Rattus norvegicus: one gene and its partners. The main gene of each other region encodes a partner of the protein of the gene in region 3 in a complex. Links are inferred from orthologs where the notes say so. Each region holds a gene or a part of one and is shown on either strand. Other genes may lie near its edges.

What was found.
Region 1: Ripk3 (region 3) and Aim2 share a complex: the UniProt entries of both Homo sapiens proteins name them as parts of the AIM2 PANoptosome complex. The link is inferred for Rattus norvegicus from reciprocal best matches to the Homo sapiens genes RIPK3 and AIM2.
Region 2: Ripk3 (region 3) and Zbp1 share a complex: the UniProt entries of both Homo sapiens proteins name them as parts of the AIM2 PANoptosome complex. The link is inferred for Rattus norvegicus from reciprocal best matches to the Homo sapiens genes RIPK3 and ZBP1.

What each region holds. Positions count from the first base shown.
Region 1 is NC_086031.1:88,425,868-88,436,550, reverse strand, and holds part of Aim2 (interferon-inducible protein AIM2), read right to left. Parts: intron 8,767-10,683; 5' UTR 8,582-8,766; intron 6,197-8,581; 5' UTR 6,177-6,196; coding exon 5,915-6,176; intron 1,982-5,914; coding exon 1,830-1,981; intron 1,746-1,829; exon of another isoform or gene 1,706-1,745; coding exon of another isoform or gene 1,562-1,705; intron 604-1,561; coding exon 184-603; intron 1-183. UniProt on the Homo sapiens protein: Sensor component of the AIM2 inflammasome, which mediates inflammasome activation in response to the presence of double-stranded DNA (dsDNA) in the cytosol, leading to subsequent pyroptosis.
Region 2 is NC_086021.1:182,408,740-182,419,422, forward strand, and holds the end of Zbp1 (Z-DNA-binding protein 1), read right to left. Parts: intron 10,434-10,683; coding exon 10,242-10,433; intron 8,534-10,241; coding exon 8,366-8,533; intron 7,016-8,365; coding exon 6,812-7,015; intron 5,649-6,811; coding exon 5,433-5,648; intron 4,405-5,432; coding exon 4,229-4,404; 3' UTR 4,228-4,228; intron 3,387-4,227; 3' UTR 2,926-3,386; downstream 1-2,925.
Region 3 is NC_086033.1:33,259,847-33,263,446, forward strand, and holds the start of Ripk3 (receptor-interacting serine/threonine-protein kinase 3), read right to left. Parts: upstream 2,180-3,600; 5' UTR 1,924-2,179; intron 1,479-1,923; exon of another isoform or gene 1,343-1,478; intron 1-1,342. UniProt on the Homo sapiens protein: Serine/threonine-protein kinase that activates necroptosis and apoptosis, two parallel forms of cell death. Necroptosis, a programmed cell death process in response to death-inducing TNF-alpha family members, is triggered by RIPK3 following activation by ZBP1.

The DNA of each region.
Region 1 (10,683 bases), on a different chromosome or scaffold from region 3:
AAACCCTTAACTTTGTGTAAAAAAAATTGTTAAAACTATTTAAAATCAACTCTTAAATTTATTTTTATTGTTTTATCTTTTATTTAGGGTGAAAACATTGAAAGTTAATTTCTAAAGTTCCAATAGGTGTTATATGTTATATTATTCTTACTGATCAATATAAAATTGCATATAGGAACTTACCTTCTGGACTTTAAATAAGCCATTCACAATTGTCCCGCACGGCAGAGTTTTCAGTTTACTAATCTTAGGAGTTTCTCCAGCTTTCTTCATAATGTTATTAGGAACGCAGACTTTGTGGCTAGATTCAACATCAACCACAACTGAGGAACTGGTGACCTCCACAAAGTAACTGTGACGGAGATAATTTGATATTTGAATTGTTCTCTTTGGAATAAATTTATCTTTAAACTGTGCATTTAAAACTTTTACAAAGAAAAATTCTGTCTCTGTGGCCACTGTGGCATGGAATATCTTTTGTTTTCCTTCCTGGGTCTCACACTCAAAGGGATTCATAGCTTTCAGCACCATGACTACTAGTGAATCTTGCTGTAAATCTTCTCTGATGGCTTCCTGTTCTGCCACCATCTGTTTCTTCTGAGGCTGTGACAAGAGAAAGAAGATGTTAGCTATGGATCCACTCAGGCAGCCTTCATTCTCAGGAAGGCCCCAGAAACAAAGAAGCTGAGCTGAAGGGAAAATGGAGACGTTAGGAAGAGAGTAGAGACTTGAAACTACCTAGATTGAAAGGACATCAAAGGAATGCTCTGCGCTCAGTATTCAGATGGGGCAGTGCACTGACTCTGGAGACAAAATTCCTGAATCAGAACCCTTCTTTGCTATGAAAAGACTGTGTCAGACACCCGAATCATTGTGAGGGGCTGAATTAGATTCTATCTCCTTGTGATTCTATGACAGCATAGTTTTCCCTCCAATGCTGAGCATTTATTTGGCTCTTCAATAAGTGGTGTGCACAGAGCTCCCGCACTGAGAACTACTTTAGAATATGTCTTCAGTCCTAGGCATTTTATTTGGATTTTTCAGAGACTATACAATATGTATTTTTATGTCTACTTGTTCAATTGTAACATTTAAACTTGGGTACTGTATTGTTTTCTTGACAATTCTGGAAATTTCTGAGCCAAACACAGAAGAAATGGTTGGGTGCTCTACATAGAATGGTGCCCATACCCTAAGCTGACTCCTCTGTAAAGTTACGTGACATTTTCATTACAGAAAATGAAATTGAAGATGCTTAGTGGATTTTGTGGTACATGCTACTTTATTAGGACTAAGGGACAAGGACTGTCTTCCAGTTTTATTCCCTCTGCTACAAAGAGCCATTTATTTCACCACAATAAGAGCAGGCACATCGTGACTAAAGGAACTGTCTTTTCTACCCACATCATGACAATCCTGAAGGGCATTCTTAGCCCCCAAGTCTCCCATGGATAGGTTGAACTCTTTGCTGCAATCTATTGAACTAGAACTCTCCCCGTTCTCTCTCATCCTAAACCTTCTCAAAAGAACTAGTGATAAGAGCACCCTGAAAATTACTCACTGTATAAGGTCCCGGCAGAGTTTTCTTCAAATAGAGGTTAACATAGCAACATGTTATTATGTCCAGAGCATGGCAGAAATTAGGAGCTTCCTGGGCATGGACACTGATAAATTTGAGTGACTTTTCTTTTTGTAATGCAGACATATCTTTCCTATAATAGCCTTGTTTTCTTGGTTTGTATGTTCTGAGACAAAGAGCAGAAGACTTTATGTGGTGGATGAGGGGATAGTGATGACAAAATGCTCTGATAAGAGTGGCACTAGCCTACCTTAACTTGAGGACAGACTTCTGTAGCAGAGTGTCCCTTGAAGTCTTTGTCACTGCAGGTGGCAGAAGCAACAGAACAGTTTTTAGCTTGACTTCTATTTTCTACTTTCTGTGTTCCTCTCTTCTTTGTATTTGTCACATATTTACTTTCAGCTGAAGAAGGAGGAGGAGGAGGAAGAGGCAGAGGAGAAGGAGAAAAGAAAGAAAAAAGAAGAAAAAGAAGAAAAAAAGAAGAAACAAGAAAAAGACACATTAAAATCTATGATAAGCATAGCTGAGAATTAGAATTCTCATTAGAATTCTAATTTTAATTAAAATATCATTAAAATACCATTAACTTTCAAGAAGAAAATTAGAAAGGAGACAGTGGCAGGGTGATGGATTAGAAGTTTCCCATCTTCAGGTCCTCACAGGAATACAACACATGACTATCCACAGACAGGCACATTGGGAAAATCTCTGAATGCAACAGAACCATAAGACTGAGAAAAGTTCCTCTAGAGATTGAGTGGAATGTTTTCATTTTTAACCACATTATCTCCCCCCCAAAATGGGACAGTACTGTATAGAGAGAACCCCATGGTTCTACAACTTCGATGGTGAGGATGAAGGGCAGGGAGTGCCCATGTGGCACCCCACTATAATGTAGGCATTGTAGAAGGTTTATTCTCACCTCATCCCTTAAGAAATATTGAATACACTGGCAAGACTAGAATAACAGGGATAAGTTAGACATAAACAAAATGAAGTGGGTCTTACTGTGGAGTCACCCAAACAGAATATCCAATAGCACCTTTAAGAGCCTCATGCAACAGATCTGTTGGCTTTGAATCATAGTCAACTTTCCTATGGTCTTACTACTCTGTAAAAGACCTGAGACTTGCTGGGTAAGGGTATACACATATGCATGTGTGTAGAGCACAGCATCCAAATCTGCCTTTCCTCCACTGTGGAATGCTGACCCCACCCAGCCTCAGAGCAACATATCAGGCTTCCTGAAGGTTATAGGCAATCTCATGCACACAAATGTCTTTGAAAGGAACCATCTGACATTGCTAGCCACAGCCTATTGAGAAAATCACACCACTCAGCCCCAGTGTTTGAAAAAAAGGGGGGGGGGCTTCTTGCTAAAGGCAAGTGTGTCCAATATTTCTTTGGAGTAGAGTACCTGGTCTCCCCAAACCTAGTGACCGAGAAGTGATGAGAGTGACGAGCCTGCGGTTCAGCGTGAGCCAAACTGGGATAAAAGTCTACGATTTTATTTTATACATGGGTGTGTGGGGTGGGCTGGTGTGGGGTGTGTGTGTGTGTGTGTGTGTGTGTGTGTGTGTGTGTGTGGTCGTCTCAGGTCATGCCCATACCAAGTGTCCCAGCAGCAGCATCCTTCCCATCCTCAGACCCCAATCTTCGGCCATACACAAATGGAGAATCTAAGTAGCAATGCTGCCCATTTAGGACCTTTATCCTGCAAACTTAGTTAATTAAAGAGGATCAAAGACTCTAGCCAGCAGCTCCACCTCACTGCTAAGTCCAGTTAGTGATCTTATTAAACCATACAATGTAGTTAATATTTTTATTTGACCACAGAATACAAGCAGCCACCCGGTCCAATCGGAGAGCCTGAAACAAGGTATCTCCTTGTAATTGATACTAGCCAACATATGCAAAGCGCAGCCTGGGTTAAAGAATAGGGTGGTAGGTGAGTGAAGAGAGAATGAAGAAGAAATAGAACAAGGACTAAGAATAAGTTACTGCTTTCTCTTCCTCAAATGTGCAGACACTAACCCTTTATTTTATTCCGAAAAGAAACTTCTTGTCCTGATTTTTAAGTGACCATCTCTTAATATGGTCGGTGTTCAATTACTTAAGGAACTTATAGGTAAAGGTGTGATAAGAACCTCTTTAGATGTGGTTTCTCACAGAATCTGAACCATTCCAGAATGTGCACAGATTTAATTTTGTTAGAAATCAAATAATTTAATGTATATGGCTAACAGTGGTCACATAATAACTATTCTGTCACTCTATTTCAGACAACAGAAAGGATTTGAGTCTTGCTCAGGAATCCTATAGAGACATTTGTTCTTGTAGGTATGTCTAATCTTTGGTCTGTGAATCGCATGTGCCCAAGAAAGCTCTGAATGAAACCCAATGCAAAACTATAAACTTACTAGATATTTTTGTCCCATTTCTAACTCTGTTGTGCGGTTATGGTACATAAACTTAGGATATGATGATGGTGTATAACTAACACCAAAATGATTAAATATGTTTGCAAGAAGTTCAACTGATCTTCTAATGGTTAGTTCTATAAATTTTTTCTTTATTTTTTTGATAAATGTGCACATAAGAATATCTAATCTATATTGACAGCACAGGAGAGGAGAAAGAGTTAAGGAAGCTCAAGGGAATAAACATGTCATGCTATTCCAACCTATCAATCACACTGACCTTTTTATAAAGGTCATTCACAGTTTTGTGAGGAAGCATTTGGAAAACTGTCATCTTCCGCTAGATACCTCTCATTTTATCAAATAATTCGATGCATACTTTTCACCTATCTAAGATCATTATAATTAGAGAATTTGCTTAGATTTGCTTGACTTTGTCATACTTATTTGTCCTCATAATTTTCTTACCCATTCTCTTGCTCAAGCCTGTTATCATTCTTTGATGACATTGTTTAAGTTGTTCAGATAGCCCCCACTTTTCATGAGGCAAGGTCATGACATGCTGAACATTTACTAGAATAAATACGAGGTGAAACTTCTCGGAAATAGCCCAGAGATCAGTGCTCTACCATAACAGCCACTGGCATCACTGACACGGCGGTGGTTGAGGCAAGCTTGCAGATGACTTCAGGCAGTGCTTCTAAGCTGCAAAGAAACTAAACTGACTTCTAGATCAGCACTCACCCCTGAGTTTTCAACCACGTCTCAAAGTAGATCATTTTGAGCTAATCAAAATTCCACCATCATTACAACAGTAAACTGAAGGAAATTTTTAAGTAACGGTGTTTTATATCATCTTATCCAGAAAAAAAAAAACAAATAAAAAGTAATTGGGGGGAGGGGGGGAACTAAACGATGCTATCAGAATTATTCAGTTGGGTTGCCAGTAGATGAACAGAAGTGACTGGGAGCAATGGTGTGCTCTTACTGTCACCATGTGGTCAAATGTAAGAACTACACTTTCCATCCGATGTCAGCCACCCTTAAAATGATCATTAATCAGGCCTCGCTCTAAGTTCCTCAAAGTCATATAACATCTCACATCTGTATGTGATTTTGCCCTTACTTCATCACTTCAATGGTGTAGAAATAACCCTCGGGAAGCCAAGCCTCTCCTCCTGCATCACACACATCAACTCTGCCATCAGGTAACATTTTGCAGCTTCTGTATTACAGTGTCCCTAAACTACTGCCTTTGGAATCTCTCATTTTAAGGATTCCCTTGATGAAGTATTCTTTTGTTGGCTCTTATTAGTCATTTGAACACAAAGGAAACACCACTTGTTCTTAGGGAGCGACTGGGAACTTAACAACCTGCGTATGATTCTGTGGAAATCCGGAAGTGGCTTATTGAATGCAAACACGTGCTTTGTGTCCTGAAAATTTGTAACGGCATCTATACTGGAGATAAATAAGGGAATAAAAATTCCATGGAGTAGAAGCACAAAGGCTTCCTAAAAAAAATACTGACTGGGACCATGGCAGGATGGCTCAGTACAGAAGTGGATAATCCATGGCAAAGTTAAAGGAGTCTCTGGTTTGTCTGTTCAAGGATGTGCTTTCTTAATGTTACAGACAGGCCTTCAGCAAAGTGTGAAAACCTTAACTACTGTGTAATGAGACCTTGGACATTAACACCGACATCCCATTTCCACAGTTTCTACCAATAGTTTGGTGGAGAAAGAGACAACGGTGGCAGCCCTCACTACTGGCTAAGGAATTTGTAACATGCTGTTTAGTGACTCCCGAGCAGGGAGGTGAAGGGCCTGGTGATTAAGCAAATTAATTTCCTACCATGCAGTGTACAAGGGCTTCATTTCTCTCATCTCATTGGGGGAGGGGGCACTCTACACACCTTCTTTCTTTTTCTCTTCAAGAGCCTTTGCAATATCCATATAATTCAACTTCTGAAAAATACTAATGGCTTTCGCCACCGCAGATGCTGCTCCTGCACTTTGAATTAGTTGGTCAGCTAACTCCGTCCTGTCTGCAATGTTCAGTGTCTTCCTGGGAATGTTAAACTCAGTCAGGGCCAAGTACTTGAACCGTTTCAGTTCCTCCTCCGTGATGTGGTCCAGGCCGGTCAACAACAGCATTTCCCGAAAGTCACTCTCCATCTCCCAGACTCAGGATCAGCCTAAAAAGAAACCTCGACTGTAAGATTACAGCATTCTATGTAAGTCTCCACTCAGGATACACAGGGTGAATAGGTAACAGGAAATACCCAAGATGACAGAGCAGGAAGAGAGCCTTAGGTGAAACATGAAAGGTGAATCACTATGCAAGATGGTCACTAGTGCCAGGAAAGGATTCTTTCAAAGGGCATGTGATAACCTAGGGATTCTTAGGGTCTATGTTCCTGTCCCCTCTAAAGCATAGGGTATGTGACATAGTATGTATACTTCAGACATACAATTTAAAACCTTAACATATATATTCTCAAAATACATTTACCAGTTCATTGGCTTGAAGACCACATTTTGGGTGTCCCCTCTTTTCCAATCAAGATCAGAAGAGCTAACTCCTGAGCTCTTCTCTAGAGATTTTAAAGGTTTAACTTGTATATCTATGACCTATTCTGGATTCTTTTGTATATGGTATAAAAATATAAAAAGATCCTCTTGTTCCAATAGCAAACATTCTTCCATGATCACATGGAAAAGACTATGACTTCTTCTTCTGCCAAAAATTCACTTTCCCATATCTGAGTTTGTCTATTTACGGATTCTTTCCCCTGTTCTTTAGCTTATCTCTCTATTAATTTAGGATGTATGTGATATTCTGAATGGGAACATTCAATAAAATGAAGATGTCAGCTTTGTCAATTAATATACAAACTACATGCAAAATCTCAGAGAAAATGTCTAAGGATCATTCTAAAGTTCGTGAAAAGATAAGGACAAAGATATACAAAATGATTAAAAAATATTCACCAAGAAACATTATGCTTACTGCCTATAAATACTTATAGGCATCTTATATTATACTTATATTACTTATATTATATTATATAATACTTATATTACATCTTATTATAAAGATGTAATAATTAAGAAAATCAGATATTAAAGCAGAAAAATGTCAGAGTTAAATCAAAACCACACATACAAAGAAACGTGTCACAGAAACAACATGAATAAATCTGTAAGAAAGAATGACAAGCAATGAAAAGTATTCAAAAACTATGTGAGGAATGATTATTGATCTTTGCCTTAAATCACAGAAAAGTAAATACTCACCCAGATAAAATACCTAAATAGGAATAGCAATACAATTGAGAAACACTGGAATTGTTTTCTTCACTTTACATTGAGAAAAAAGAAAAACTTCCTGAACAATGTACATAAAGGACATGTTAGAGAGGTGAGATTGTATTCCATTTCATTGAATGCATATTCTAAATTTCTTCATCAAAATACAAATAATGCAAACATCAACTTAGAAGGTCCAAGCTGGGACTGTACCACCTTGAGTGTCCATAATTAATAAACACCTTCTTTGCAGAATACATGAAAAAAACACATATCTGTGAGAAATTATCAGCTGTCTAGGTGAAAAGCAGTGAAAGGAGATGGGCAAGCAACGTGCCTCAGTATGTGATGACAATGTAGGAGAATATCATTGACATTGCTAATAATGTTACTTTTGAGAGAATAATGTAGAAGACATATGGCTAAGATGTGGATCATAAGAGCAAAGCAACTGGCCAAAGACCCGGAGGTTTCCCATCAGTGCGGGCAATGTCAATGAGCTCTGTAGAGTTATTAATGACACCTTATCACTGCCCTGGTAAAAACTGGGCAGGTAAAGAAAAGATCAGAGTGGCTCTGTTTACATGGGTGGTGCTCATACTCAAAGCTCAAAACTACCATAAGCATCTTTTCCAACTTAAGAAATACACCTGAAATAGCATTGGGATAAATCTGCACCAGGGCACCAGTCCTTTTGATACCAGGGAGGAAGGAAGTCTCCTCTGGCTTAGCATGTGCAATGCGCTAACCACCTCAGCCTGTGTTCTACTGGTCTGTGTGAAATTTGAATCTTCCTACACCCTTCTTCAATAAAAACAGTCACATTCAATCACATTTTATACGAAAAATTAAAACACCAATTTCTCTGAAGGTGATTATCTTATTTACATACAATTTTACTACATAGTAAGTCTGCTTAAAAAGTTGTAAAGTATTTGTTGGGACCAAAATGAATCTTGGCAGTAGAGCCCTTGACTACTATACAGGAAGCTTGGGGTTCAACTGAAAGCACCATGAAACACAACCAGTGAGGGGTTGGTTAGAGAGTGGAGATACTCGAAGGAAATGCACTCCGATCTGATTGGCAGCTTCATGGCCATCAAGAGTGGCAGCTGCAATCTGAGAGCACATGCTATACCGCGCACAGTGTATATTCAAAGTGCTTGCACAGGGAGTCTGAGAGATGGGACGGAAAAAGAACATATTGGCAAGAATGACTTTCTATCTAGGAGGTGTGTTACCAGGACATGAAGTTGTCCTGTATGGCATACCTGGAAAACACCAGCTCCGTAGCAGTTGTAGGTTAAATTGGGATTCGAGGCAGAATCACTTACTTGATGCCACACAGCTTATAAAGGATGACTAGATGGCCTGACCTCAAGTCTTCTGAATCCAAGCCCTCTGCTCTCTCTTTTGCCAACTGCCTTTGTATTATTCACAGAATGTGCAATGATACCTTTGGATTAAAAACAAAACAAACCACAAAACAAAACAACAAAATTCTAACGTTACTGTTATTTCACAACAACCATTCCTTACATGCTCATTTGTAACTCGAAATATTAATAATAACATCACAAATTGCCATCATTTTCCCCTGTCAAAACCATTTATCTCTCTTCACAGTGTGTCAGAATAACTGAAACCCAACCTCTCTGTAGGTTTCTGTTTGACTTTCCCTGCATGTATTTTATAAAACTAGAGCTGACCCTGTTCCTCTGTTACCACAAACTTTCCAGGACCTCTCTACTTGTCTACTTAGCAATCCAGTAGTTTTTGTTTGTGTTTTGGTTCACATTCTGTGCTAGAGTGAAAGTAGTTTGTGGGCAAGGACTCCATTGTTCTTTTCTGCAGTCCTAGTTCTGAAAATACCATCTGTGATACAACAACTATTCAACAAACATTCACTGACTGAGTAAGCAAAGCTTCTCTAACTAAAAACACAGCTCTAGGCATCTTCTGGGCTGTTTTCAGGGTACCTTTGGTTTGACTGAGAAGCCCAGTTGAAAGATCACAGAACAAGATGGCAGCTAAATAAGGTCCCCTAGCAGCCATCTTACCACAGGCACACAAATTTTAACTGGCTGTACAGAGCCCAACCTGCCCTTCTAATACCTAAAGAAGCCATGTGAGAGACCTTTGTGTCTTGGTTTCATTGGATAGTAAGAAAAGACACAATGAAGAAATGGAAGGGAAAGATTTGTCCATGTTGACACTCCTCCAAGTTCACAAAGTGGAGGGGGGAGAGGAGAAGAAAGAGAAGGAGGATGAGGAGGAGGAGAAGGAGAAGGAGGAGGGAGGAGGGAGGAAGAAGAAGAAGAAGAAGAAGAAGAAGAAGAAGAAGAAGAAGAAGAAGAAGAAGAAGAAGAAGAAGAAGAAGAAGAAGAAGAAGAAGAGGAAGAAGAAGAATAGTAGGAGGAGGAGGGGGAGAAGGAAGGGGGAGGAGGAAGAGGAAGAAGAGGAGGAAGAGGAGGAAGGAGGGGAGGAAGAAGAAGAGGAGGAGGAAGAGGAGGAGGAAGAGGAGGAGGAAGAGGAAGAGGAGGAGGAGGAGGAGGAGGAGGAAGAGGAGGAGGAGAAATAACTCATCCCAAGCCTTAGACTTTAAACTCAGTACCATGCTAGCACAGTGAAATATCACTCCCTGGAAGAATTCTATAAGCCCTTAGACTAGACTATGGGTTAGACTGACTGGAACTGTGGAAGCCAGTCTGCTCACTTCCTTTAGTTCTCCTCCTTGGATCTGGGTTGGACAGAAGGATGAGCAAAAAGGTCTCCACCCACAGGTGATAGGACCCAAATCTAGCTCAGAATTCTGCTTACTGCAGTGGGAAGTAGCAACAAACAGAAAGAAAAGCCTTTTAGACCCGAGCCCCACTTCACAGGAAAAGCCTCCCAACACGCAATGGAATTAAACAACTGCCTACAGGCTTTAGTACAACAGCTTCAAGTCACCAGCCTGGAAGTAGGCAAAGGACACCCCCTACTCACATTACAGAGTTTTCTCTGCCCGTGAGACTCGGGTGTAACCCTGGTTAGTGTTGCCCTTGGTGGTCCTTAGGCCTGGGCATCAGCTATCTTCAAGTTAGTGTTACCAGGCAAACATCAAGCACAAATTATCAAGATCATTTGACGTGGTTTACCACTAAGTAGGGACTTGTGCCCTACCGGGACGTCATATTTTGGCCTGTGTGTCTACTGGTATGGCATAGACCTGGGTGAACTCAGCATGAGTAAATCAATCAGAAGAACTGCTGAGAGAGAAACAAGAATTCAAAGCTAGCTCACGGGCCACCGCCAACAGCAGACCGAGCGTCCTCTTTAGGAAGTGGCAGTTGAGGGATTATAGCAAAGGAGAACACACGTTTCAGAAGCT
Region 2 (10,683 bases), on a different chromosome or scaffold from region 3:
GCGCCTCGTTAATTTCCTCTCCTGAGAGATGGCTTCGCCCTTCACCTCCAGCCTCCATTAGCCGCGCAGCACTTTATCAGCGCATTTATGAGAAATTAATTGCAGAGGGGGAACCGGCGCTGGGCAGCAAGGCCTCTGCTTGGGCAAGCTCAGGAGCTCAGTTTGTTCCCCATAGACACTGGGCTGGCTTCACTGTGGACCTCAGGCTGGCTCTGAGATCTGCCTCTGGCTTTCAGCTGGGTGGAGAAGGAAGATGAGACCAGCCACCTGCACTTAGCTTTCGTTGACAATGGGATGCCCCAAGGCAACATGCTTTCCAGACTGTCTGTGACCACAGTGACCAAGAAGACTGTGCCGTGGTACAGGATCCCTGTCCACAGCGAGCCCCACGGCCCAGCTTCCAGGGAACACATTTGCGGGTAAGCTGGCTTATGGCTAAGACTTGTACAAACAACCTCTGGCCTTGACTCCTTTGTCCACCGACTTTCTATCTCGGTTTCCTTTGCTCTTGACTTTCTTTCATCCCCAAGTGCCCCCTTATCTCTGTTGCCTTCCTTAGAGTCCGATCAGGTCTCAGACTTCCTCACCTGACCTCAGAGACCAGAACTTAGAGTCCTCAGCTCCCCAGCGCTGCTCTGAGGCTCAGAGGCTGCGGGCCAATTATTCATTGCAACCATCCCCTCTGAGGTGTGCCATTGACATCCAGCTCTTGGTTGCCACGGTTCCCTCTCTAGCCTCAGGGCCCAATGCAGCCTGCAAAGTCCCCAGAGGCCCCAGGGGATTGAGAGTGAGAAAACCAGGCTACGGGCCATGGTTTCTCCACCCAAGTGTCTCCTGAGCCTCTTGTCTGCGTAGCAACTCTTTCCTGAATGCTTCAGAGATCTGCCCATACACCCTTGGCCCATCCCTGCCCTCCACCTTCCCACAGCCTTGACTTCTCTGACAGTTTCTGTGACAGCTTCTCTCTGGCTCTGGGGGTAGCCTTTTAACACTAGAGGCCAATCAAGGAAGTGTCTTATTGCTCTGGCCCACGACTAGTTAGGGGGTGGCTTTCAGCTGGGTGGAGAAGGAAATCAGAGCTGTCATATGCACTGACAGTCATACTGGGGCCAAGGGCCATCTTCACTAGTACGGGAGAAGCAGAATGAAAGGAGGCGGGGGTTGGGTCAGCCAGAGCCCCTGGATGCAAATATTCCTGAAGCAGGACTTAAGCCTGGAACAATCTACAGCTCATCCCTTGTGCAGGCACACACAATCCAGCTTTCTGTCATCAACAAGCAAGCCAGTCTGCTCATCTGTAGAGGTGAGTGGTAGGCCTGGCTGGAGGAGAGTAGACAAGGATGGAGAGAGAGCCTGCAGGGTGGGTGGGGCCAGAGAGAGTACGCAGGATGGGTGGGGCCAGAAAGTGAACGTACTGGGTGGGTGGGGCCGGAAGAGAGCGTGCAGGGTGGGTGGGGCTAGAGAGAGTATGATGGGTAGGTGGTGCTGGAAGAGAGCAGTGTTGGTGGAAACAGAATAGTGCACGGAATGGATGAAGGTGGCCAGAGGTTTCAAAGGCCTTTCTGAGCTCAGAAGCTTTTGGTGAACAGAAGGTTCTGGGTGTGTGGGAGAGAAGAGAGGAGCTGCACCGGCTGTCCCAGCTCCAGCGCTAAGGGAACCACTGGGTTTTTTGACAAGTGCAGGACTAATCTCTGGTTCAGGGGTAGCTGGAATCACCAGACACCACATCCCAGCACTCCCTGCAGGAACAGGCTATCCCACTGGAGTGCTGTATGGATGCCTAAGATCCTTCTTAGGTATGGCTAAGGCTGGGGAGCCTTAGGATGGCTGGGCTGAGGACACCAAGAGTCCCTCTGAGACCCTGTGCTGAGTGAGCTGCACCAACACACACACCAAGACAGACGGACCCGGGGACATAGCTTCTAGGTACAACAGCCTACACCTCACACGAGAGGTAGAGCAAAGGGGGAGAAAGCACGCGGCACTGGGAGGCTGCACATGACCTGCACACACTAAGAGTCACTTGGTTCCACTCGGGAGCTGCCTTCCTGGCTAGCTGATTCTTCCTTTTTTTTTTTTTCCCGTTCATTTCAAAGCTCCATTACCCTTCCCCCAGCACTCAGAACCCCAAGGTTTTGGAAAACGTTAGCTATCTGGCATACGGTAAATGATTCCTGTCTGTTGACTGGCCAAGGCTGGTTGATTGACACATGGGCCAGCGAATCACTGCTACAGGGCCAAGGATTGAGGCGAGCCTTGCCTGTTTAGGCTGCTATGATCAAGCACCCTGAGCTGGGTGGGTTATGATGGTAAGAAAGTTGTTCGCGGCATGTGGATCCTGGAGAACTAAGGTCACCATGGCAGGTTCAGGGTCTAGTGAGGCACTCTCCTTAAAGCGATGCCTCATAGCCTCCTAGTGGAAGGCCGAGGAGACTAACGAGGCCCTCAGCTTTGTGTATGGCATCAACTGGGTGCAGTAGGCTGCCCTGGTCATGGGGCTTGGGAGGCAAGAGCCTTTACTTCTGAGCCGTCTCGCCCGCCCCTGGTTTAATTCTTTAAATCCGTTATCTGAGTGGCCTGACGCTCTTTAGTTTCAGAGGCACACCTTTGTACGAAAGTGCATCGCATTCATTCGGCCGTGAACCCCCACGACTGTGATACCCCCACAGCCATGAACCACTTTGGCCATGATCTCCCTTCCACCGTGAACCCCATGGCTGTGATCCCTTCTCACCCATGACCCCTCCTCGGCCTTGCCCCCCTCAACTGTGACCCCCCCCTTACCTGTGACCCCAATTGGCTGTGATCTCCCCTTGGCCATGACCCCCCTCAGCTGTGACACCCCTCCTTTGGACTTTACCCCCTTGGGCTATGACCCTGCCTCTCTCTCCCCCCATCCTCCTGTTGGTCCCTTCATTCCCTGGCTGGTGTCACGTGTACTTTAATGTCACATCTGTGTATGATTCCAGGAATCTATCATAAAGTCCAGGAGCCACAAAAGAGAGGAAGACGTGACCGTTGTCATTCTAAGATGGCTTTCATTCACTTAACGTGGTGGTCTCTGGTGTCATCTTCTTCCAGCCAATGACAACCTCAGTATTTTTCATGGCTGTGTGCTACTCCACATTCGCCCATCTTTTACTGCGGGACAGCAAGGTTGGTTCCATCTCTTATCTGCTGGGAACAGGACCACCGTCTGCATGGATATGCAGACGTCTCTCTGTGTTGACTTTTCCCTTCCGGTGAACACCCAGGAGTGGTACAACTGGCTCATATGGTTGACTGATCGATGTATTGATTGATTCATTGATCTTGAGGCAGGAAAGGTTGGTTTGGCTCATGGTGGCAGAGAGGTCTATGGTCTTGTGGCTCCATTGCTTTCTGGCCTATGGTAGGGCAGAAGGGCATGACAGGAAGAGATGACTGAGAGACTTGAAGGGGCATGACCCAGGCTGGAACTGGGGCTGCATGGGTAGAGCCTGTGAGGCATGCATGAAGCACTTCATGGGTAGAGCCTTGTGAGGCATACATGAAGCACTTCATGGGTAGAGCTTTGTGAGGCATGCATACATGAAGCACTTCATGGGTAGAGCCTTGTGAGGCATGCATACATGAAGCACTTCATGGGTAGAGCCTTGTGAGGCATGCATGCATGAAGCCCTACATTGGTAGAGCCTGTAAGGTATGCATGAAGCCTGCATGGGTAGAGCCTGTGAGGCATGCATGAAGCCTGCATAGGTAGAGCTTGTGAGGTATGCATGAAGTCCTGTATACACGGAGTTTCCTCCTTAGCATCTCATAAACTGGACTTGGTGGTCCATGCCTATGATCCCAGCACTCAGGAATTGGAGGCCAGGAGATCAGAAATTCAAGGTCACCCTTGGTGACATGGTGGATCAAAGCCGGTCTGGACTGAATGCACTGATTGTCTTCATTGACTCATTTTCTTTGCCCTCCCAAAGTCTCTACCCCAGCCCAATAACCTCATGAGGCAGCGAGCGAATCCATCTAGAGACTGTGTGTGGATGACTTTGCAGCCAGGACAGGACCAAGTTGTCAATACAGTGTGAGAATATCACATCTGGGTCACACACACACACACACACACACACACACACACACACACACACACACACACACATCTAGTCCAGGCCCTGTGTGCAGCCACAAACAGCCCCACAGGCCTCTCCACCTGTGCCTGTGCCCTCGCCACCTCCCTCCTCTCACCTCAGTCCTGCGTCTGACAGGTTTCTGCGGCCTGCACTTCATCCTCTCTAAGCATAGATTCTGTGATCTGGGGGCTGCCATCTCCCAGAGCCATAGCTGTCAGCTCAGAGGTGAGCAGGGTGGAGTCGCTGGGTGTGTGCAAGCAGCTTCTGGGTGGCGTGGCTTCAGAACTTGCACCTAGGGGACAGGGAGAAGAGGAAGGCATCCTTCAGACTCTTGAGAAGTATTTATCTGGCAACCACTGTGATGGGTTTCTGCTTGCCCGTGTGTTCCCATAGGACAGTTTGGAGCACAAATTTGACAGTTTGTTCCCAAACTGCCAAAATCCCCCGCCCCACACACATGGATTCATTCATTCATTCATTCATTCATTCATTCATTCACGAGTCTGTGTGTGTCTCTCTGCCTGTCTGTGTGTCTCTGAAGTCAGAGGACAATGGGTGGGCTCTCTCCTTCCACCGTGTGGGCCGTGGGGAGTGCAACTCAGGTCCTCAGACTTGGCAGCAAGTGCGTGCACCCACGGAGCCATCTTGCTGGCCCAGGAAGACTTAAATACTACACTGCACACATGCCTTCAGGCTCTGAAAGACTGGGCAGGCATCCACTACGGGTTTTAGGCTCCTGGGTCCCTCCCATTTCCCAGACTCCCGCCCCGTGCTGCTCCACCTCTCCCCTCAGGGTCTTGGCGCCTGCCTTTTTGTCACTCGTAACCCTTCTGCAGGACTTGTTGGCTCCTTATCTCCCACAGAGCTTCCTTGATGGCAAGGCTCACAACTTCCTCTCTGGGAGCAACCATGATGGCTCCCTAAAGGGTTCCTTACCTGGGCCTGGTGACTGTGACCCTCGACACCCCACCCATGGCCTGTTCTCACTGTGTGAGTCATACAGCACTTCACCGGATACCAGGACTTCCAGACATCCTGGCCCTCCTTGTTAATCTAACCATCCACGGGTAGGACTGTGTAGGATTCTCTTACTCCAGATCCAAAAGGTCTCTGCTTCAGTCCTGCTCGAAACGCTCTGTGGCCCTTTATTACCTCAGCGCCTGCACCTACATCCTCCCATAGCCTGAGCTACACGCTGGCTTTTGGTCCACTCGCTGAGCTCCAGACCCTGTGTCCTCCCACCAGGCCGTTGCCTTGACCCTTGAGGGCAGATGAAGAAATGAGGGCGGGCCACACACAGCCACCTGTGCCCAGGCTCACCTGTGTCTTCTTTCAGTTCTTGGCTGTCTGCAGACTCCTTGGCTCCACCCTTTGACCTACGGTGGATGGTCATCTTGTTGTTGTTGCCGACGGTCGTGTCCTCTAGCAAGCAGGATTTGATGTGGACTATCTGGGTTGTGCCTCCCTCAGGGTGAGGGCCTGGCTCAGGTGTTTGCATGTTGAATGCAGTTTCTGGGTCTGCAGTGGTGGTTGACTCTTCAAGTAAACCAAAGAGAGAAGCCAGGAGAAGCGAGCAATTTGCAGAGGGACTTGGCGTGTACACCCATCCTCACGGCTCAGTCTCACCAGTGACCTTGCAGATCTGGCCCATAGCCTCTGCTTAGCCACTCTACCTCCATGTCCTGGCACAGGTCCCCACTGGACTGGAAGCCACCCCCACCCCCACCCCTACCCTCCACCCTGAGCCCAGCAAAACCACTCAGGACTCAGCATCATCTTCTGAACCTCAGGAGGCTTCCATCTTCTCTGTGGCCAGTTCCCAGGTGGCAGATGAAGGGCATGCTGTCCTACTATGGTCCGTAATATTTCATGCTGTCCTACTATGTTCCGTACCATTTCATGTTCTCCTACTATGATCCATACCATTTCATGTTCTCCTACTGTGTTCTGTACCATTTCATGCTGTCCTACTGTGTTCTGTACCATTTCATACTGTCCTACTGTGTTCTGTACCATTTCATGCTGTCCTACTGTGGTCCATACCATTTCATGCTGTCCTACTGTGGTTCATACCTTTTCTCTCCCAGCCCCAGCTTCACCTCAGCATCCCCCTGAACCCTGATGTCTCCTCTTCACTTTCACACTCAAAAAGTCAGGAATGTCCTTGCCTGGCTTCCCTCCCTCCCCCTACATGTAGGTTCCCTTCACTCTAAGAAACAGTCACAGAAGGCCAGCACAGAGTCCTGTTTGCTGGTCCCACTGCTGTGCCCTGTCTCCCTGACCAATTTCTTTCTGAAGGCACTTCTCCCTGGCTCTGTTTGTCCCCCGAGACCTCATCATCTAAGAATCCACAGTTCCTGGCAGGGTCCTCGAGTCACTGTACCACCAGGACACTGTTATTACCATCGACTACCTGCTTCCTTCTCTGTTTCCCTAGACCACCATCCAGGCCTCTGCTCGCCCCTGTGATCTGGCTTCCTCCCACTCAGCCTCCATATGTAGGCGCTGACTGGGGTTTGCTGCACGTGGGTGCTGGGAGCCTGGGGACCCCGAGTGCCAGATCTAAAAGCTCGGTACTATTCAGTGATACCCCTCCAACGGGTCAGGGTAGAAATGAGTTTTCCATCATTGTTCTCTTCTGGCAAAGACTCTGGCTTCCGGTCCTTTCTAGATATGTGGGGCGACAGAGGCCACCTTACCTGGGGGGCTACTACTAAAGCTGAAAATGGGGTGTTCCACTGGATCCCTCTCGAGGTTCATCTCGTTGCCGTGGCCGAGCTGCACACGTCGGAGCATGGACTTGTTCAGGTGGATGAGTTGAGCTCCGTGGGTACCAGGGGGCGTGTCCTGAGCAGCAGCATCCTCTAGCACGGGTAGAGGGGCGTGGTGAGGAGTCCCGGGACCTGGGCGGGGCAGAGAATCAAGGATTCTCTAGAAACTCCAGATCGCTCTGTTCTCAGGCTCGAGCACCAGAGGCAGCTGGAGTCAGGCAGTCTGTATTCTCAGCGGGGGCTCAGGGTACTATTACAGCACCTGCCTGCTGGGTCTCCTCAACCTTTGTCTCCCATGGAAAGGAAGGCCGCCGAGGCCGGACAAGTCCTCCACAGCCTTGAGAAGGGTCCTGGCTGTGTTTATTTCTCAAGTGTTTTTAGCCTCGCTTTTATGATTTTTCAAATTAAAGGAAACGCAGAAACTTTGCGAATACACCTGAGTCTGAGAAATGGCGATGCATTTAACATCCCTAAGTAAAATAGGCAGACAGGAGGGCCATCAGAGCCAGGGGAGTCACGCTGGGGAAACGAGCCTCCTGTGAGGCAGATCTCTCCTGATAGCATGGGGGAATCTGGGTTGGGGCTGATACCCTAGTGCGTGGGTGGCAGGGCCAGAGTGTGAGGTGGCCCCACACCCTCTGAGCCATATGCTTATTCTGAGGAAACACTCTCTGGACAGTACCAACATGCGTCAAAACCAAATGCTGAGGCTGGGGGTTGGCTGGGAATGCTAAGAGCACTGCCCAGCAAGTGTAGGACCTGGGCTTGGATCCTAGCACCCATGTAAAAGGCCAGGCCAGACTGCAGGCACTTGCACCCCAAGGGCTGGGGGGACACTGAGACAGGATCTCTGGGACTTACTGTCTGCAATTCTTGCTCCAGGTTCAGTGAGAGACCCTGGATGAATGAGGTATGACAGAACAGGACACCTGACGTCATCCTCTGGTTCTGAATGGGCTTCAGTAAACACACACACACACACACACACACACACACACACACTTAGGTAGATAGGTAGACAGACAGACAGAAATAGGTAAATAGGAAGCCACTGAATATAAGATGACCCCAATTTTTTGTGGCATAATTTGAGAGACAGAAATGTGCTCAGAGCAGAGAATTGCAGTAACCCTCTCACCATGTCCTGCTGAGAGAGGGGTGGGGGAGGTGAATTATTTTCTTGCAAAAAAGTTTGATATCCTTGAGAAGGAGCAAAATTACAGGGAGTACAGGTGAGGTGTGGCCCACGGGTCTCTCTGAGGAAGGCTGAGTCTAAGGAGTGCCTAAGGAGATGGAGCAGTTGCCTTCTCCTTGGAGGACCAAGTCCCCTTTCAGTACCCCCCTTATCCAGGACCCTCCTCTTCCCACCACACCCCCCGACACCCCACCCCCCAGCTGAGGACTGACCCAGGGCCTTACACTTGCTAGGCAAGCGGTCTACCACTGAGCTAAATCCCCAACCCCTCAGGACCCTGCTCTTACCTGGGTCACCACAGATTGTCTGTCTTGACATAACATTCCCATGGCCAATCTGGATGGCTTTTGAGTTGGAAATAGAGATGAGGCTGTTGGGTCCTTGTTGGCAGATCATGTTGATCGGATTTTGCTGGTAAATAACCGCAGGGGACTCTTGTCCGACTCCGGAACAAGCTATGGAAAAATATCCCATTGAGTTCTTTGTCTCAGCGACAGAGGAGGTCTCTTATCAACAGCACTGAACTTCCATGGGTGTCTGCTGCTACAGGAGCCCAGACCCCCTCCTGGGGGCCTGAGAAAGAGGGTGTAAGGTAAGATCCAGGAGCTGCCTGGCCACAGCATCCTTCCTCCTGCTTGATGGACACAGTGGTAGATTGACAGGAGCCTCTCCTGACATCCCTGCAGCAGGCGATTTACCTGTGTGTCCCTGCCTCAGTGACTCACCGGGAGAATGGTGGAGACTCCCGCTCTCTTCCTACCCTGTCCCTGCTGCCAGAGCCCTGCAGGGCCCGTAGTCCTGAGCCCCAGGCTCCTTTCACTTCAGCAATGGCTAGAAAATGCCCCCTATGGTTGGTTTTCAATTTGGGTTTTGTGGGGAGTTTGGTAGTTTAGGATGATAGATTTGAACTTGAAGTTCTTCTCCTTCTGCTTCCTAAATGCTGGGATAATGTCTGCCTTCTTTGAGTGACGAAAACCCCCATGTTGGACAAAGTGTTCGCAAAGAGTCATTACTAATTCAGGCTGACCCCTGTGTCCAGGCTGAGCAATTCCAGTGTGTCCCTCCCTCCAGACTTTCTGCATCTCAGCCCTCAGAAGACTTCCAGAATCCTCTCAGTTGAACCACCCCCCCACCCAGGCTCCTCTCTCCTCACCGATGGCTAGAAGAAACCTCTTATGCAGAAATGTAAATTTTATTTGCCAGATATAATTGTCTCGGAGGCTTACTGCGGAATAAGCTCATCCATACTAGTTCTTCTTGAACTCTGGCTGGCTGGTTCAACTCAAAACTCCTCTCCAAGCTGACTTATTCAGTCTGGCTTCTCTCACTGAATTCACTGCTTTGCCTCAAACAACGGCAATTTGTTCTAATCTTCGGGTTCTTTTTCATTCTCTGGCTTCAGCCGCCTCTGCTGACCTCCCCTGAACTGCGTGAACTCAGGAATGAAGTCAGCTCTACTGTACTGAGCTCGCCACACTGACTTCCAACAGACTCAACCCCTGTCCCCTGTCAGGACAGCCATGTTTCTGGATTAAAATCCCTCTTCGCATACGTGGTCCTTAGGTTCCACTGACTTCATTAAAGATTTGGATGGCTCACTCTTCTGCCAAAGGCTGGAGACCTTACGGGCACTATGAATGAGGCGGGCAGGCTCATACCAGTCAAGACCAGCCGCTGGATGACCCTCCCTGCTTAATCCTGGCAGCAACCCTCCCTCCCAGAACACCTCCCTAAAGAGTATCAGTAAAATCGGACCCGAAGGCTGGAGGCCTTGCCCAGTGGTTAGAGCATCAGCTGCTCTTCTAGAGGATCCAGGCCTCAGTACCTACGTGGTGGCTCACAGCTATATCTGTAACTCAGATTCCAGCCAGGTCGATTCCCTCTTCTAACCTCTGCAGGCAGTGCACGCATGTGGTGCGTGTACACGCAGGCAATGCACTCGTACAGATAAAATAAGATGCACAAATATAAAAGAAAATCTGCAACAACAACAGCAACAAAAAAATCTGTCCCTAGACCATCCAATCCTTATCCTTGATTTTTTTCTTCAACCTGACCCTCAGTGACCTAATCCTGACCCTTGACCTTCCTGACCTGAAACTTGACCTTCCCAACCTGACCCTTGACCCCCGACCTCCCCAAACCGACTTTGACCTCTCATACCTCGCTCTTGGCCTTCCTGGCTTGAGCGGTAGATGGTCCACATCTGTGTGTCAGACACGGTCAGAAGGTGCTTATTCCTCATGGAATACAGGATGGGGTTCACTTCTTTGGCCGTCGTCATTCCCAGAGCCTTGGCGATATGCAGGGCCCTCTGGGGCCCTTTAGTCTCCAGGAATCTTAATATCCTTTCTTCTGCAAAGCAGGAGGCAGGTGCTTCGTGGGAAGAGAGCCCTGGGCTTGCATCTACCCACCACCTACTGCCTGTGGCCTGGGATACTCGTGAAGCCCAGGGACATGGCGAGGGTCTGTCAGAAGCACATATTGGGTCATCTTGGGGACAGTGGTCCTCTGGAGACCAAGCGGATGAGGCTCTCACCCTAGAGACTGGCGCAGACTGACGCAGGGGTGTCAGAGCCCACATCTCACCATTTAGAACCTCTCT
Region 3 (3,600 bases):
CAGATAAAGATAAAATTTAATGTATCAGAAACGAGATTCAGGGAGTAGGGAATGTAAATCATTTGGCGGGTTTCCTCTCTTGCCAGAAGCCATGAGTTGGATCCCAGCATGTGTGTAAACCAGGAGTGGTGGAACACCCCTGGAATCCTATCATCCCAGCTCTTTGATGGTGGTGGCCAGGGGGCCAGTTTAAGGTTATTAATAGTTACGTAGTGAGTTTAAGGTCAACCTGGGCTACCTGAGACCTTGCCTCAAAAGGGGGCGGTGGTGGTATCTGAAGATCGATTAATGAATATTTAACAGTCTGTGTTAATAAGCGTTTTGGCTGAGTGTAAACATTAAATTTTATTGGGGGAAATAAAAGAAACGTAAAAAAGCTGGGCTTGGTAACGTGTGCCTGTAACCACAACACTTTGCAGATCTAGGCAAGAAGATGAGGAATTGGAGATCATCTTCTGATAACTCCCAAATTCAAGGCCAGCCTGAACTACAGGGTGAGACAGGGACTATCTCAAACAATAGAAAAGAAACGAAACAAAGAAGTATGTATAGACCTGTTTAAAAAAATATCTGGGCCTGGAGAGATGGCTCAGAGGTTAGGAGCACTGACTGCTCTTCCAGAGGTCCTGAGTTAAATTCCCAGGAACCACATGGTGGCTCACAACCATCTGTCATAGGATCTGGTGCCACAGTGTGTCTGAAGAGAGTGACAGTGTACTCATATAAAATAAATAAATCTTTTTTTTTTTAAAAAAGAAAAAACTCAAGTTAATAAAAAAAAAAAGAAAAGAAAAAGAAAAGAATATCTGAATAAGAGATAGATATATTGGCCTAGCACAAGGGAGGCTGAGGCAGGAGGATGGTGAATTTGTGGCTAGCCTGGTCTATGTAGTAAGATTCTGTCTCAAACAAAACTAAGTAATCAAGTAGGAATATGTTCTAAGGAGTTGTTCTCAAATAGGGGTTCATGGGTGGATGGTTTTTATTTTCTTGTACTTTTTTTTTTTTTCTGTTTTTTCCGGAGCTGGGGACCGAACCCAGGGCCTTGTGCTTGCTAGGCAAGTGCTCTACCACTGAGCTAAATCCCCAACCCCATTTTCTTGTATTTTTATGTTATTTATTTAGATGAGGTTAGAAGAGGGTGTCAGATACACTGGAATCGGAGTTAGAGGCAGTCGTGGGCCACCTGCCTCCGTCATTGAGAACTAAACTTGCATCCTCTGGAAGAGCAGCACACGCTCCTAACTACTGAGTCATCTCCCCAGCCCTCTATGTTCTTATTTAAAACTTGATATTCTAATTTTTCGGAGATGAATTTATGAGGTGTGTACTGAATTGCAGCCTCCTGTTCTCCCTGGGGGTCCTATACTGAGATGAGGCTGCTTCCCTCTCCTTCCTGCTCTACTGTAACCCAGAGACTCTTTGGTGTCCGCCTTTCGTTCCTGACTGAAATTACTAGGTCATGGAGTTTGCCTATGGTAAGATTCTGACAGCGATAAACTTGGAGATGTGTGTGTGTGTGTGTGTGTGTGTGTGTGTGTGTGTGTGTGTGTTGCTTTCCGGTTCAGGAGGGTGTTGTAATCCAACAAGGAAGTTCACAGGACAAACTTACTTTCTGTTTCCTTTTCTGCCCAGGCATCATGTGACATTACCATCAACCATGACAAGAGTTGGCCTTTTTCCCCAGACGATATACTTACTGTTAGCGATTCGCCACAGGCTGAGGCTAGACACACTGCAGATAAAGAAATTAGAAACTCCCCAAACTTTTTTGTTTTGGCCTGGATGTAAACAAAGTGTTAAGGGGCAGAAGCTGGAGAAGAAGGGACAAGGCCCGAAACCTTGCGTTGAAAGGCAGATGGCCCCCCAGCACCCCAGGATGGTGGGGTCAGGTCAGCAGCTGAGACCCGGCAGGATGCTTACCTTTGACCTCTTGTTGGGTCTGGATGGCATGGCCCTCCTCCTCTCCCTCAGCCAACAGCAGCCCTGGCAGGGCTGCTCTCCCAGCTCCCTTGGCAGACTCTTCCTCTTTCTAAGGCTTGATTCCCCTGACTCCTTGCCAGCTGCTGCTCCCTACATGGCCGGGACAGCCACAGTGCATGGGACAGCTACTTTTCCTCAGGTAACAGTGACCAAGTCTGGAGACTCTTTCGGCCAGTTAGGCTCAGCTTGGGTCTCTGTCACGCTTATGGAGTTCTTCTGGGGTGCTGTCTTAATTTGCCTTTGGTCACCACAGTGACTCATGGCAATGGCAGTTAGCAGTTGCAGATTCTTACACTCCAGTGGCTTCCCTCAGATGTTAGAGCTAGGTTCCTGTTCCTGTCTTGGGGCCCTGCCTGTCACCCCACTGTCTTTGTGGGGGCCAAGGCTGTTTTCTCTCCTGGATATCCTTGTGTTGTAATTATGTACAGAAGGTCAGGTTGGCCTGAGGTGGGTGCTCTGTCCTTTCCCCGTTCCACAGTGCGTCTTCGATCCAGTTTATTTAAGAGGATATGTTAGGAAGTATCCTCCGTTTCCTTCCCATCCATGTCCAGCTCTCTCCTAACCCACTTGCTCTGTATGCTCAGGCCTCTATGCTGAGAGTCAGAAAGCCTCTTTCATTTTGTTCCCTTCCAGCCATCAAGCCCTTCTCTGAATAAGGGTCTTCCCTTGAGTCCAGGGGATGGAACCCAATGTTTACATTCTCTTCTGTCTTGGTCCCACCCAGTGGCAGTTTCGTGGTGCTTTGAGGAACCGGAAAAAGAACCTGTTGTTATATCTGGAAAAAACAAACAAACAAACAACAACAACAACAAAAACAAACAAAAACAAAACAAACAAACAAAAAAAACCCCGAAGTGTTAAGGAACCTTTTTTTTTTTTTTTTTTTTTTTTTTTTTTCTGGAGCTGAGGACCAAACCCAGGGCCTTGTGCTTGCTAGGCAAGCGCTCTACCACTGAGCTAAATCCCCAACCCTGGAACCTTTTAAAAAAAAAAAAAAGGTGGACTGCTCTTCCGAGGTTCTGAGTTCAATTCCCAGCAATCACATGGTGGCTCACAACCATCTGTAAGGGGATCTGGTGCCCTCTTCTGGTGTGTCCGGAGACAGCTACAGTGTACTCAGACAAAATAAATAAATAATTCTAAAAAAAAAGGTGGCAGCACAGGTCCGTTGTCTCTGCCTTAACTGATGGAAAATGTACCTCACCAGAAAGGGAGAAATATCCCTAATGGGGGGGGGGGCACCACAAAACCAAAAAATCCAAAACCAAACCAAAACCAAACAAAGGAAAAACAAGCCAAACAGCAACAATCTGCCACTTTGAGGGACTGTGCTGAGCTTGGAGAAGTCAGGATTTGGGCAGAAAAGAGATACAATGTAAGTTTCTGCCTGGAAGCAGACCTCAGCGGCTGCTGCCCACCTTCCCTTCTCCTGGCAGCGTTCTTTTGAAGGCTTCCAGTGCTGAAAGTATATCCTTCTGCAGGACTCCATGCAAGACAAAGCCTCTTGTTTTTCTGTGCCGAGCTGAGATGACTTCACAAAGTTACTGGGTTATGTGTCACCCGTGCTTCCTGTCTCAGAAAAGTAAAGCCCTCCCTCATTCCCTCATAGAAAGGAGT